Rattus norvegicus: one gene and its partners. The protein of the gene in region 1 interacts with the protein of each later gene in a pairwise test. Links are inferred from orthologs where the notes say so. Each region holds a gene or a part of one and is shown on either strand. Other genes may lie near its edges.

Region 1 (5,218 bases):
TGCCTCATGTCTTTGGGGGAATGGGAGGGAGATGGAGAGAAAGTTTGGACACAGGCCTATATCCTAAGACAGAGGAGGTAAAGCGCCCTTCCTCCAACCCTGGGGACTTGGAGAGGTACTCAAACAAAGACAAACCCTTCTCATTTATAGTGTGACTGTCAAGTCGTGTGTGTGTGTGTGTGTGTGTGTGTGTGTGTGTGTGTGTGTGTGTGTGGTCATCACGTCTATCCTCTCTTTTGACACTGTCTGTCTGAAGCTGCCTGGCTCTCTCACTCCGCTACTTTCCTCTTAGATGGAGGGAGGAGATGGGCAGGCAGCTCACTGGGCAGCTCATGCCCCTCTAGCTTGACTTTGATAAGGTGGTTGGCCAGGGCAAACTCCTCATCATCCAACATGCCATCCTTGTCAATGTCGGCTAGCTTCCAGATCTTCCCCAGGACGCTGTTGGGCAACTTGGAGCGCACCATCTCCTTTTTGGCATTGGCGCCCGTAATCTTGCCATCCACCGGGGATAAGGTGTAGAAGATTTCATCATACATAGGCTTGTCCCGGGCCACCACCCACTCGGCATCATCAATGCCCTCCCCAGCTCCCTCTCCATAGCCATGCCCAAAGGGCCCTTGGAGGGTTCCCTCAAATGCTCCGCCCTTCACCATCTGAACAGGCCGCTGGGTCTCTTCCTGGCGTACCAGCACCATGAGCTGGGCAATGTCATGGGCCAGCATGTCATCAACCACTTCTAGCAGCTTGCTCTTCAGTGGTTGGAATTTGCTGAAGTCCTGGGCCTGCAGCTGATCCTGGGAAGAGAAAGAAAAGGGAATCCAGTGGAAGGAGATGTTCATATCAGGGAAGGTATCTCCTATTAAAGATAGAATCCTTGCCCAATTATCTTTCTAATGAAAGTAGTTAGGCCAATGGGCTGCACCAGGGGAGGGGAGCAAGGACTGGATGGGCTAAGGATAGGTCTTTTATGAAGGAGCAGAACAAGAGCTGGGGACAGGGAACAAAGTCAACTAGGGTTGGTTTGTGTCACAGACTGTTCCTAGGGAGTTCAGAGGTTAACCTAAGCACTTAAAGGTGCATTATCCTAGAGATGGTGGAGACGTTGAACATCTAGCCTTTACTAGGGCTTCACTATGTAAGGGCTTCAGTGTCATCAAACACACCTGTGCCCTAGGGGACAACTGGCTGTTTCTGTCCAGTTTGGCTATGGCATTTGCTGTGAGTGATTGTGTCTAATGCCACCTCCTTGCCTTATGACTCTGGCTTCTCCCAGGAGCTCTGTCAGCCCCTTCATTCTCTGGCAGTCAGCTAACAAGATGTTTTCTTACAGCCATAGGGTCCCTGACCCTCATTACCTGCATCCTCTTCAGGTTGGGGAAGTCCCCAGGGGAGATCTGGTGTTCTCGCTCAATCCGGCCATAGATCTCAGCCAGGTTGTTCACCAGCTCTTTCTTTTTGGTGTCCTTCCCAAACACTGAGGGCATCTCCTTTTTTAGGGAGCTGATGATATAGGCATGGACCTGACAAAGAAGGACAGAGGACAACCTCAGCAGAAGCCTGAACTGGCCCTTCAAGTCCCTCCTCCTGACCCTGCTTCTGAAGCATTTCTTTCATCTAGCACATTACCGGGCTAGCCTGGTGAGACTATCGAGAGGGAAGGTCACGGTGGAGGGGGTGAGAACATTGCTGTTGTAGACACAGACAATGGCAGTTTCTGAATACTAAGGTATCTGGTAAAGTGACAAGGGCTTTCAGACTCTGTTTCTCTTCATCTTCCCCCAGCCCATTCAGTTTATAAATGTAGAAAACAGCACTGAGAAACTACAAAAGCACGGACCTCCTGGGGATCACCGAGGGAGCCATGGAGCCAAGCTCCAAACTGGCCATCTGATCCAGAGCCAGCAGCCATAACCACCCACACTCTCCTATCTAAGGGACCTCAGTTCTCACAACTGATTTCTCCTTTAGAACCTGTCTACATTGCATTTACTTGTGGCAGGGTTACCTTGGCCAGCCGGGCTCTCTTGATGAGATCATTGAGCTTTCGAAGAGCAGCATTACGGGGTAGACTCTGAATGTCTTTGAACAAGTCTTGCTCTTCAGCTTCAAAGAGCTTCCTGTTGTCAGGAATGAGGAGAGGGTGGGACCAGAAGGAGCCAATGTAGACCCGGATCACCTCTGGTGTGTTCACAATCTTCCCCAGGGACCACATGAGGGCCCCATACACCCGCATCAGCTGCTGGGTCTCAATCTGGTCAGCCTTGTTCAACACCACTCGCATCTTGTCCTCGTGGTTCTTGAGGGCCTTGATGACTTCTGAGAACTCATCAGAGATGTCAAGCTTGTGGGCGTCAAAGAGCAGGATGATTCGGTCCACCCGCTCAGCAAACCATTCGAGGACAGCAGCAAAATCATACCCTGTGGTGGATTGACAGTCAGTGGGTGGAGCTTTAGGGCATGGAAGTATAATGAAGGGGCCAATGTAAGATAACACAGTCTTGAAAATTGCCTTTGTGTCCAGATTCTGGTTCCTCCCATTGGACCGTTTGAGCAAATTACTGTGTGTGTGTGTGTGTGTGTGTGTGTGTGTGTGTGTGTGTGTGTGTGTGTGTGTGTTTGCAGTCCTAGGAATCAAAGGGCCTCATGCATGCTATCCAACTGTTCTTCCACTGAGTTACATGCCCAGACCTTCTTGGCCATCTATAAAATGGTCACTAGAAAGTATTTGGCTAGTAGGATGATGGAGACACTCAGGAAATGCTGGACTCTGTTACAGCATCACTACTCTCATAAAGACTGGCCACTATCTATATATCTTATTGAAGTTAGGGGACAGGGATCATGATGGGAACAGAATTCTGGACATTATTTTCATGCTGATATTTTGAAATTGGGTCTTACTGTCTTGCAGTAGCCCACACTGGCCTTGAACTTTCTCTATAGGCAAGTTTAGCCTTGAACTTGAGATCCTCCTGCCTTTACCCTCCAAAGCGCTGAGGTTCCAGGTGTGCATTATCATGACCCATTTGGATACCTGTTATGAATTTGAACAAAGACCCAGAAATTCTTCACAAGGTACAGGCAACAAACCAGAAGATGCAGGTTACTGATACATGTTCAGACCATGCCCATCTCTGGTCGGGAAGAAGTCTGAGTTCTCGGTACAGACTCAAGTGACTTATTCTCCTATAGTTCACAAGATCGCTTCCTTCCTCAACTGCTGCAGCCCCACCCAAATTCCCAACTCCTATCCTGTATGGGAGTCCTTCCTGAGGATGTGACTGGACCTCTGGCACCTGGTTACCAGCATTGAGCTACTTCAAATCCAGCTGGTTCCAGGAAATCTAGAACTCCTGCTCCGCTCAATGCCAAGCAACTGTGGGTCTGGGAGAGGGAGACAGTTTGGTTATGCAGTGGTCTCCAAAGGACTCCTATTGGGGGCTTGGTGTCAGCTGGTAGGCTTTTGGGAAATGAATGGATCATGAGGGCTCTGAAATAACCACTGGATTAACTCCTTCGTGGATTCATAATACCAAGGGCATTACTGGGAGATAGGTGGAAACCGGCAGACAGGGGTTATGTGGAGGAAGGGTTCACGGAGGTGGGTGAGTGGTGGGCAACCTTGGAAAAACAGACTTTTATTCCAAGCTCGTCTTTTTCTCCATTCTGGCCCTTAAAAGGTTAGCAACACTGCTCTGCCATGTTCCAATAACTTGCTTGATGTTCTGTTCTTACCAAAGCCCAGAAACAGTGAAGCCAAGAGGCCATGAACCATGAAACAGACCTGACCATCCCTCCTTTTAAGTTATTAGCCTTAGATGCTTGTTACAGTGATGAAAAGCCAACCACAGAGGGAGAGGCTACCCCTGGAACTCACCTAATAGACAACGATGGCTGCCCAGGAAGCCCCAGGGGTCCACCTGTCTCAGCTTCCTCAGCGCCAGCATTGTAAGGGGACACATGTGCTTCTAAGTCCAGCTTTTATTATATGGACTGTGGGGCTTAAACTCAGGTCTTCATGTTTGCATGACAAACGCATTACAAACTGAGCTGGGTCTTCCTAACGGTGTTTACCCATTACCCTCCTAATTTAAGGAACTCTCCCCATAGCCTCAGCCTGAGCAAGCCTGCCTTATGCTTCTCCATCTCTCCTGCACCCAGGGCACGGGGGGGAGGGGGGGGCGCTCCATCAGCATATGCTGCTCACGATTGACATATAATCTTGTTCTGTCTTTTACATCTAGGAAACACTGAACAGGTCACCTCTGGACCTTTAGTCTTCCAGTCTCTAAATCCAGACCCACAAGTGCTTTGGCCCCAGGGTTGCGATGATCAAATCTAAGAGGAGTGGCTGACACCACTTACTTATGACCTTGGTCAAATGCCCAGTCCCTTCATAAAGAACTTCTTGGTGTGTTCCCACAGGACGGAGCTTGCTTGGCGTGTCTGTGTCCCTCTCTGTAGGCTCACTGGCCTGGGTAGGCTCCCTGTGGTTTCTGCTTAGTTTATTAATTTGATATGCTGGGCAATAGAATCCCCTTGCTAATCCTTGGTCTCTGCTTCTGGGATGGATGACCTTTGAACTTCCTTTCTTGGTTTACAGTTCCCGGCTTCCAGGCCCAGAGGTGTGAGGACAGGGGGTGCAGTAATGTGGAAGTGAGACACAAGGGGAGAGGAATGCTGAAGGCCGCTGCCACTGGGGCCTTAGGTTTGCCTACAGGAAGCCTGCTGGGGTCTGCGGACAAACAAACCTTTCCTATGAGCAATGAGGCCTCCCATCAATCCTCCTACTTTTGCAAACTCTGCAAACTCTGGTAAGCTGCTATCAAATGACAAGTGGTGAGGAGCCTCCTCTGAGGTGTGTGGCTGTGAAGACAGTGAGTGAATCTGAAGCCCTGACTCTGCAAGCTCCCCGGAGCCTCACCCTCCAGGGCTCCTGGCTACTCCAGGGTGTGTGACCTTGAGGATGAATTGTTAAATTGCTTCCATAGCCTGGACTTATGTGCATGCCCAGAAATAAAGGCGCGGGAAAGGCAAACACTGGATACAGTCAGGAGAGGAGCACAGGGGTACCCTTCCCATTTGTTTTCTGAATGGCCTCCTGCAAGTCTGACCGTCTTTGACTTGGCTGTAAAACTGTGAATTGTTACAACTGGCTGGATGCAGAGCTCATGATGTAGCCAGGGAAAGCATACCTGACCACAGGAGGAGAGAG
Region 2 (4,272 bases), on another chromosome or scaffold:
TAAAGAAATGACCCAGAGCTGAGCACACCAAGGATCTTACAAGGTCATCTGTCAACTGACCTGTTCCTGTAAACCAAAGTACTAAGCTACATAACTTCCCTTTCTGTCTTCTATCAAGAGTTCAAGTACTTCAGAGCTGTGGAATGATCTCAGGCTATGCCTCAAATATTTCTGTCTTTCAGTACTCGAAGTAGTAAAATAACATCTTACCAGTTTCCAGAATGAACCACATGGAAGAAGGCTGACGTGAGGGCCTTGGAAGTTACTAGAATTTATCTCCTGACTCAGAAGTGTTCCATCACCTACTAATATTCCACAGAAACTAACCAGTCACAATTCCCAAGTCACAGGCCCTTGAATGTGACCTATATAGTGGTCGTTCTATCAAACCCCAGGGGCTGACAACTGCACAAGTAGAAAGTTCTCCCAAACCATAACATCCACCAAGAAGTTGATCACTACTGTCTCATAGTCAAGCTCACACTGACACCACCACCCCACCACCCTCACACTTGGGAACTTTACTTCCTTTAACTGGGAGGGGGCAACACTGGCAACATTCCTGCCATCTGTAAAAAGAGGCACTGGTGCCCACTGGGTTTAGACTCTGCCTTCACACAGCATCTCCCTAAGTGTCCAAGAGATAGTCCAAGCAGGGAGGTGCTGAAAGGAAGCAACCAAGTCAGGACAGACTCCTGCTGAGCCCCTGCCTATCTTGGCTAGTGGAAGGGGTCTGTTAAGGGCTTCCCTATAATACTGCATAATGACCAAGAACAGTCAGCAGAAAATGGACAAAGAGGTACCCAGGAGCCATTTCTACCTTGGCCCAGCTCTGTATCTCAATAAATAAAATCATAAAGTCCCCTGAAAAGGGAACACTTCATTAAAAGAAATACAGAAAAACCAGCAAATAATGCCGATTTTTTTCCTGTTCTTGTTCAACTATAGTGGAAATGTCTCAAAGTGCACAGCAAGAGACTACTATTTCCAACCCCCACCTGTGTGCGTTTCAGGCGCCTGCCCATCTCCTCCTCCCACTTGATATCATGCTACCAAAGACTCTGCCCAGTTCCTGCCCACTGCTGTCAGTTAGGGGCCCCCTTCTGCTTAGCCAGGGTGCACTTCAGCTCCCGGAGGTTCTCCGTCAGAACCTCAACCTCATCCATTCGACCACACTGCTTGGCATCGAAGATGTAAGCCTTGATGTTGTCAATTTGCTGCAGGAGCAGCTCCTCCTCAATGTGTTCCTCAGCCTCCATGCCACTATCACTGTCTACCTCAAAGGGGTTGGTGCATGGACACTCTTCAAAAGGGTTTCCAGGGGCGGCTGGACTGGCAGACCTGGGATGGTCATCCTCATCAAAGGGGTTGGGTGCTGGACTGTCTGGGTCAGTGAAGGGATTCCCTGCCCCCAACTCTGCCACCTCCTCTTCCTCAGCATCTTCCTCAAAAGGATTGTATTCTTTGGTGACAGCAGCTGGAGGGCCCAGGAAAGCCTCTACAGCAGCAGGGCTGACAGCACCCTCTATAGGGCTGGAGAGGTCTTCTTCATCAAACGGGTTGAGAGAGGTCTTACTACTTGGCTGTGATATGGTGCTCTGAAGGAGTAATTCTTGGCTAAGGGCTGGGGACCCAGACCACACATGGATGGGTGCTAGAGCTGAGCCAGGTGAAAGGATATCAGGAGCTGTGCTGCTCTGAACTGGGGAGGAGTCCTCATCTAAGGAATAGGCAAGATCAGTGTGAGGCCCTCGGATGGGCTCCAACTGGAAGGGTAAAACTTCTCGGAGTTCTAGAACACGAGTCCGTGTTTGCAGAGATGCTGCCAGGAACTGCTCTTCTTCTCGTTCCAGCTCCCGCTGGCGGAGCATCTGTAACTGCTCCCGCTGTAGCTCCTCCTCCTCAGCCTGCCTCCGGGACAGTTCGATGGCCTTCTCAGTCTGCTGCTGGTCATACTCATCTTGCAGCTGCCGCAGGTTCTCTTGAAGTGTGCGCACCTCATCTGTGCGGCCTGCAGCCTTGGCCTGCCTGATGAACGATGTAATGTTATAGATCTGCTGAAGGAGAGGGTCGGGGTCTTCACTCTGTACCTGACCTTCTGACAGTGGGAGCCAGCCCTCAGCCTTTCGCAAGGGGGCAGGTATGCCTTGAAGAGACCTCATGTCCCCATTGGCTGTATGAGATGCCAAACCACTCTGCCTTTCCTCAAGCTTCCGTCGGGACTCCAGAGCAGCCTGCAGAGACATCACACATCACCAGGGTCACCATGGTCACCAAGACAGCAGCCTTCCCTGTCTGCTACCCTCTATGGTCTCAGCAATACTAAGATAATTCAACTGCTCAAACAAAGACAAGCTTAGATTTCAACAATAAAGCAATGTGAGTTAAAAAGATTCTTTCCCTCTTAGTTTCATCAACTGTATACTTTCCTTAAACTTCCAAAGACTGACACCCTTATCTCCATCAAGGTTAGAATTTCAGACAATACTAAAATAAACACACTGCTTTATGTTTTCATTTTGGGTTTTGTAGTACTGGGGCTAGAACCCAGGGTGCTTTAAGCATGCTAAATAAGTATTCTATTCCTGAAGTATAAAACAGCACCCTCATTTTCTTTAAAAGATATAGCCTCACTATGTAGCACAAACTGGTCCAGAACTTAAAACCTTCTTGTCTCAGCTTCTTGAGGTCCGGGATACAGGCATGCACTACTGCACCTCTATTGTCTAACAGTATGTATTCCTGGACTGGCCTGCAAGCCTAACAGAGGGAAAACTGCCATCCCTGTAGTGGTCTAGACAGGAGAGCATCAACAGAAATACTAAATAAAACTAGGACTCAGTGGGAAAACAACTGTTTTCTAAGGCCATACAGAAGCCAGCTTGAAATGGAGAGACTTAGCAGCCAAGGGGTAGGGTATGAGAGCAGGGAAGTCGAAGCCGCTAGGTGCCTGAGCCCCATGCACCTGTCGCTCCATGGTCCTCTTCTGCTCCAGGTCCTGCTTCCTTTTCTTTTTTAGTTCTTCAAACTGTTCTTTGGTTGGCAGTGACATCAAACCCAATAACTTTTCCTGTAGGAGAGTAATAAACAATTTAGACAAGTGTTTTTGGGAAGATGGGGAGAAAAATTGGACCTTAAGGCTTATACACTTAGGGCAAGCCACTCCAACCACTGACAGGAAGGACATGCCTGCTAACTGGAAGTCACCTTTCAAATTGACCTGCCTTTTCCTTATGAGATGGTTGCACCAGATCTGAAGATGTCCCCAGGCCGGTGCCAGCTTCTTTCTGAGGCTGTGCGCTGAGCCCATCCGCCCACATCTACCTAGACCCCAGCAGTCCCTGGTACCCCTTTTCTTTATTTACCGCCCCTAGATCTCTCCCTATTTCATATTCTCTAACATACCACATGTTTTATAATTTGTTGCTATGTATTCACATTCTACTAAAAGAAAGACCCCTCCTGGAGAGAGGACTGAGGCCAAAAAGTCATGAAACTTCAAGAAATTGACAGGACTCAAAAAACTAATGAAAATTCTAAAATTTCTGGCCTTCCTAAGATGCTTTGAGCAAGAAACAACTGCCAGGTGAGGAGTCACCTTATAGTGACTTGCAACCAAGTCATCCTGGGACTCTAATAATGCAGAAGATATTAGAGGTAGAGAAATGCAACTCAGATCTAGTCACATATGTTAAACCTGCTGTTCTTGAATCATTAGCCAATGGCCCAGAAAGATTCCCTGATGAGAAAATATCACTTATCATAGTAGCAAAATTAGAAGCCATCAATTCCCCAACTAAAATGAAATAGTTCAATAAAGAAAACCAGACAGAGCCACAGTAGCATTCCACAGCCAAAACAAGCATAGGAGAGGCAGTGATGGAACCGAGACAGAGTTGCAGGAGTGTCTGTGAGGGCTGACCTTTCTTGTCCACCTGAGTGGATTTAGAATCAAAACACACCTCTAGGTATGTCCATAGGGTCTTTCCAGAAAACTCTGAGGTGGAAAGACCCCCTTTGGTGTGGGTGGGTCCAAGCTAGGCTGCCAGACTGAATAAAAAGGAGAAAGCAAGCTGAGCACCAGCGCTCACCTCTCTCTGCTTCGTAACTGCATACACAACATAACCAGCTGTCTCAAGCTCCTGCCACCATGACCCCATCAAGGCAGACTTCAAACTGACTCAAACAGTCTTCCTTATGTTTATCAAGTATTTAATCATAGCAATGAGAAAACTAAACAATGAACTATAAATATTGCATATAAAAATATAA
Region 3 (5,218 bases), on another chromosome or scaffold:
CTGGTCTCTGTCTCCTGTCAACATGAAGTGGGTGTGAGGAGGATCTCCTGGCTCCTCTCTCGGCATCTGGGTTCTGTAGTTCTAGGCTCATTTGTTTCTCAGAACCTGGGCTTGTCCAGTCTTATACATATTGTGGCTCTACAACACATGTAAGGCGGCTGTCTTTGTAGCTGGCATTGATGGCCCACTTTTTCTATATGCCTGGCCCTCTCTGGGCCACATCCACTCATGCAGGCTCTGCCGCCTGCTATTGACGTCGAGGAGGCCTGCTTCTAATAATAAGCCACTGAGCATGCCAAGTTTCCAGACTGGTCTGAAGAGCATCTTGGTGGTGGCAAGTGGAGTGCTAGGGGAGCTTTAAGTACCCTCCCAAGACCATTATTCATAGATTTTCGTGTTTATTTTAAATTCTGTGTATCTATGGGTGGGTTTATGCATGAGAGTGCAGTGCCGATGGTAGCCAGCAGGGGCGGCGGCGTGTCTGATCTCCAAGAGCTAGAGTGACAGGTGTTTGTTAGCCATCTGATGTGGGTGCTGGAACCCTGACTTTGGTCTTCTGGAAGAGCAGTATGTGCTCTTAGCTATTAAGCCATCTGTGCAGCCTACCCAGCTCCATTTGTACTGCAAGCATGGCTGTATGGAAGGCTGCCTTGAGGCTGTTCTGCAGCTTAAAATGCCTGGAAGGGCTCAGAGGCCTTGTGCTTGGCTGGACTGCCTTTGGGTGTTGATACTACAGAGAGAGAGAGAAGGCAGAACCCCAGGGGTGCTCCTAAGGAACCCAATCCCACCCCTGAGAGTAGGAGAGAATATCAAAAGCAGTTGGAGTGGGAAATGGGGGTTATAGGTGACCACAGTGTCTCTGTCCCTAGGTGGGAAGCTGCTCCTCCATGATGCTGCTGGGCCCTTGGGAACATAACCCCTCTGAAACATAGCTCAGCTGTAAAGGGGCAAGCAACAAGTGAGGCTTTATGTGTGTTTGGTACCAGGTCTAGAACCCAAGGCTTTGTGTTTGTTAGCTCTCTCTCTCTCTCTCTTTTTTTTTTTTTTTTTTTAAGATTTATTTTATTTATTATATATAAGTACACTGTAGCTGTCTTCAGATACACCAGAAGAGGGCATCAGATCGCTTTACAGATGGTTGTGAGCCACCATGTGGTTGCTGGGAATTGAACTCATGACCTCTGGAAGAGCAGTCGGGTGCTCTTAACCGCTGAGCCATCTCTCCAGCCCATCTCTCTTTTTTTTTTAAAGATTTATTTTATGTATATGAGTACACTGTAGCTGTCTTCAGACACACCAGAAGAAGGCATCAGATCCCATTACAGATGGTTGTGAGCCACCATGTGGTTGCTGGGAATTGAACTCAGGACCTCTGGAAGAGCAGTCAGTGCTCTTAACCACTGAGCCATCTCTCTAGCCCTCTTTTATTTTTTTTTCTGTTTTTTTTTTTAAACTATTTAATTAAGTGGCGGTGCTCAAACACTCAAGAGGCCGAGGTAGGTGGATCTCTGTGAGTTCAAGGGCAGCCTGGTCTACAGAGTGAGTTCCAGGACAGCCAGGGCTACACAGAGAAACCCTGTCTCGGAAAACCAAATCAACAAACTACCTTCCTTTAGCTCTGCATTTTGGACAGTCCCACACACATGACACGCATGTTTATGGGAGCAGTGGGTGGGAGTCTGTGTCTAACAGTTCAGTTTATTTTAGTTCCCCACCCTCTAATCTCTGCTCAATCTTTCAGCCCCAGCTCCTGCATTCAGACGAAGGGTTTTTTTTATTTTTCCCACCATGTAGACCTGGCTGGCCTAGAACTTACAGTGATCTGCCTGCCTTTGCTTCTGCCTCTCTGCCTCTCTGCCCCTCTCCCCCTCTGCCCCTCTCCCCCTCTGCCCCTCTCCCCCTCTGCCTCTTCTCTCTCCCTCCCCTTCCCCCCACCTCTCTCCCTCTGCCCCGACCCCAGTCTCTCTGCTCGGCCACCACATCTGGCTCAGACAGAGCCGATTCACCCAGCCATGCCCTTGAGCAGACAGCCATGTGAGGTGTGAGAGCTCATTGGGGAGCAGTCTGGATGAGCAGACAGCCATGTGAGGTGTGAGAGCTCATTGGGGAGCAGTCTGGATGAGCAGACAGCCATGTGAGGTGTGAGAGCTCATTGGGGAGCAGTCTGGATGAGCAGACAGCCATGTGAGGTGTGAGAGCTCATTGGGGGAGCAGTCTGGACGTGGAACTGGAGCTGAATGAGTGTGGAAAGATGGAGCTTGGGAGGTTCTGTTCTTGCCTGACCCTCCCTCCTGCCACTTGTGTCCTGACCTGCTTTCCATAGTCCTGTATGATCACACTTCTCTGATTGAACTGTCTCTCATGCCTACTTTTAGTCTTCCTGCAAGGAGAATCCTTTCAACCGGAAACCATCTCCCTCCACATCTCCAACTGTAAGGAAGGCCACCAAAGGAGCCAAGCCTGTGAGGCCACCTGCCCCTGGACATGGCTTTCCACTAATCAAGCGCAAGGTGCCAGCAGAGGGACCCTAAAACCCATCTGGCCTAGGCCCAGCACCCTCCCCTCAGCAGCTTTTGGCTTCTGGGACCTGTGAATGGCCCAATAGGAAGGCTGACCCGAGCCTAGGGATCCTGCTATCCAGGAGCAGTGGGTGGGTGTTTGTGTGTAACAGTTCAAGTGCAGAGCGTAACCGTGGGAGAAACTTGTGCTTCTCAGAAGGGAGCTTCCGGGCTTCTCCCTAACCTGTTCCACTAGCTCACTGCCCAACAAAGAAACCCCTCCTGAGTGACAGGGCAGGGGAGGCTTCCCTCTGGAGCAAGGACTTACTTGAACCTCTCATGGGGAGTTTGTCAGACCTTGACTTGGAGGGTTCATGGCCATCCCCACTCCTCACACCCGTGGTGCTTTCTTGTCCTGCAACTTTGGGACAGGACCTGGGTTCCTAGAGCCTGCAGTGCTAGGGGACCCTGTGAGCTGGAGGAGAGCCGGTGGAGGGGACAGCCACCGCTCTTTAAGTGACCAGAACATTACTGGGCAGGTCCAGGCTGACCAGTATATTCCTGAAGAGGACATCTATGGTGAGATGGACAGTATTGAGCGCCAGCTGGATGCCCTGGAGCACAGCGGAGTTCTGTTGGAGGAGAAGCTGCGTGGTGGAGCCAATGGTGAGGGAGCTGCCAAGAGGAGCTGGCTGAGGGTTGTGGGTTGAGGGGAGCCCCTCCACCTGGGAGTGCGGAGCTGTGAGGGATGCCAGCTCTGGCCTTAGTGGGGTTCTGGCTTCCAGAAGGCAGCGAGGACGACATGCTGGTGGACTGGTTCAAGCTCATTCACGAGAAGCATCTACTAGTGCGGCGAGAGTCGGAGCTCATTTATGTGTGAGTCCTGACTGCCCTGCCTGCTTCCCGCCGGGTCTGAGGGGAACTGGGAATTTGTGCCGTCTGCCATGGCGGCACTGCCTGCAGATGAGCGTTCACTGCCTCTTCATCCCACCCTTCAGCTTCAAGCAGCAGAACCTGGAGCAGCGCCAGGCTGATGTGGAGTTTGAACTCCGGTGCCTTCTCAATAAGCCAGGTGAGCCTGGGACCCAAAGATCCAGGAGACCCTTGCCAGCCTGGGCCACAGGAGCCTGCCTTTAAAACTAGGGAGGTTGCTTCCTAAGTGCTCTGGAACTAGCTCTGTAGGCCAGGCTGGCCTCAAACTCACAGAGATCTACCTGCCTTTGTCTCCTGAGTGCTGGGATTAAAGGTGTGCACCACCACTATCCAGCCTCCAAATCTGATTCTTAGAATCCACGTATTTTTGACTCTGGGCATGGCAGGAACCTCGGGTGTGCTGAGGGTTGAGGGCTGAGCTGGGAAATGGAGTGGAAGAGTGCTTGACTTGTCTGTGGTTGTGGCATGTACTGAGCCATAGCTGCTGGCAGAGATCACAGAGCCATGGAAGGATGCAGCGCTCTGACGTCTTTCCTATGTGCTGATGTCATCAACCGTCACTGCCATTTTAGAGCTGAGGTTATAGAAGACCAGGACCAGAGCCCGGGCTTTTTCCTCATTTATGTAGGAGATGCTAGCTCTGTCTGCCCATGCCTGCCCCACACCAGTTCTTACTGACTCTGTGAATGAAGTATTGCCTTTTCATTAACTTGGGCACTTGGAAGGCTGGGATGGCCCCAAGTCACAGAATGTCCTTGGCTTCCTTTGCCAACTGTGAGTCACTTTCACCTCAGCAGGAGGCTGGGAGTGTGGCCACCTCTCAGGAGCCTGGTGTAACTAGAGTGAGTATGACCGGCAGCCCCAAGGCTGTGGCTACACACCCTGCCCTAGTCAGCTTGCCCCTGATGCTGCTTTTGAAGATTAGGCTAGTTTATGGGACCCTGAGGGAGATGGGCCCATAGATGCCACAAAAGGCCACCATGTGAGAGGTCAGGCTGCTTGGGTTCAATGACTTTGTCTGGGTAATGCTGGCAAAAGGCTTAGTTTTCTAAAACTTCAATTTCCCTGCACGTAGACTAGGAGCTCAACCTACCCAGGCTCCAGGGGTGAGGACACAGGAGAATTGGAATTTAGGTAGTGGCTGTGAAGCCATTTGCTGTCCCCAGGATTGGGCTGGGTTTCCTGTCCCTCAAGGTGAAGTGGGAATGGGGTAGTTCCTGGTAGCTTAACACATGAGTGGCACCAGATATGGGCACCCAGCCTTGCAGGCCCTGAGGGTGGTCCTATTGAGACATCAAGCATCAAGAGGCCTGGAAGAGGGAAGAATCTGGAGGGTGGCAAGTGTTAGTGACACCAGGGGGCCCATTGTCCCTCCGTTTGCCCTCCTCCATGGCCGTGGGGGCACATTCCGCTTTGTGACTTGGACTGAACTGCTTCTGCAGGTGGACTCCTGGGAGTTCCTTGTCCTCCCTGTGCTTGTTCACTCAAGCCAGTCCCATGTTGCTTTCCACAGGAAGCCACCCTTTGAGCATTGCTGGCCCTGCAGGGTGTCCTTAGATGGTATTTGGTGGGCACCCTGGGCCTGCATGGTGTCTTTGACCTTTGTGTTTTGTGGGCAGGAAGCTCTTGAGCATTTTTGGCTCTGCAGGGCATCACTTGAAGGGTATTTGGTGGGCAGCCAAGTGTTCTTCGTTTTTCCCTAGACCTACCTTCATTTCCCTACCAGCTTGTAAGTGGCACTCTGGGTCCTTCTCTTAATCTCACAGCAAGGATGGCCTGCTGTCTTC

The links. The genes of interacting proteins can lie anywhere in the genome.
Region 2: the proteins of Ehd3 (region 1) and Rbsn interact in binary tests that used the Homo sapiens proteins (3 or more experiments, as listed by UniProt). The link is inferred for Rattus norvegicus from reciprocal best matches to the Homo sapiens genes EHD3 and RBSN.
Region 3: the proteins of Ehd3 (region 1) and Micall1 interact in binary tests that used the Homo sapiens proteins (3 or more experiments, as listed by UniProt). The link is inferred for Rattus norvegicus from reciprocal best matches to the Homo sapiens genes EHD3 and MICALL1.

The regions. Positions count from the first base shown.
Region 1 is NC_086024.1:27,392,544-27,397,761, forward strand, and holds the end of Ehd3 (EH domain-containing protein 3), read right to left. Parts: intron 2,422-5,218; coding exon 2,009-2,421; intron 1,524-2,008; coding exon 1,359-1,523; intron 798-1,358; coding exon 270-797; 3' UTR 166-269; downstream 1-165. UniProt on the Homo sapiens protein: ATP- and membrane-binding protein that controls membrane reorganization/tubulation upon ATP hydrolysis. In vitro causes tubulation of endocytic membranes. Binding to phosphatidic acid induces its membrane tubulation activity.
Region 2 is NC_086022.1:126,242,365-126,246,636, forward strand, and holds part of Rbsn (rabenosyn-5), read right to left. Parts: intron 3,071-4,272; coding exon 2,966-3,070; intron 2,235-2,965; coding exon 1,086-2,234; 3' UTR 1-1,085. UniProt on the Homo sapiens protein: Rab4/Rab5 effector protein acting in early endocytic membrane fusion and membrane trafficking of recycling endosomes. Required for endosome fusion either homotypically or with clathrin coated vesicles.
Region 3 is NC_086025.1:112,576,758-112,581,975, forward strand, and holds part of Micall1 (MICAL-like protein 1), read left to right. Parts: intron 1-2,375; coding exon 2,376-2,510; intron 2,511-3,037; coding exon 3,038-3,164; intron 3,165-3,283; coding exon 3,284-3,374; intron 3,375-3,496; coding exon 3,497-3,570; intron 3,571-5,218. UniProt on the Homo sapiens protein: Lipid-binding protein with higher affinity for phosphatidic acid, a lipid enriched in recycling endosome membranes. On endosome membranes, acts as a downstream effector of Rab proteins recruiting cytosolic proteins to regulate membrane tubulation.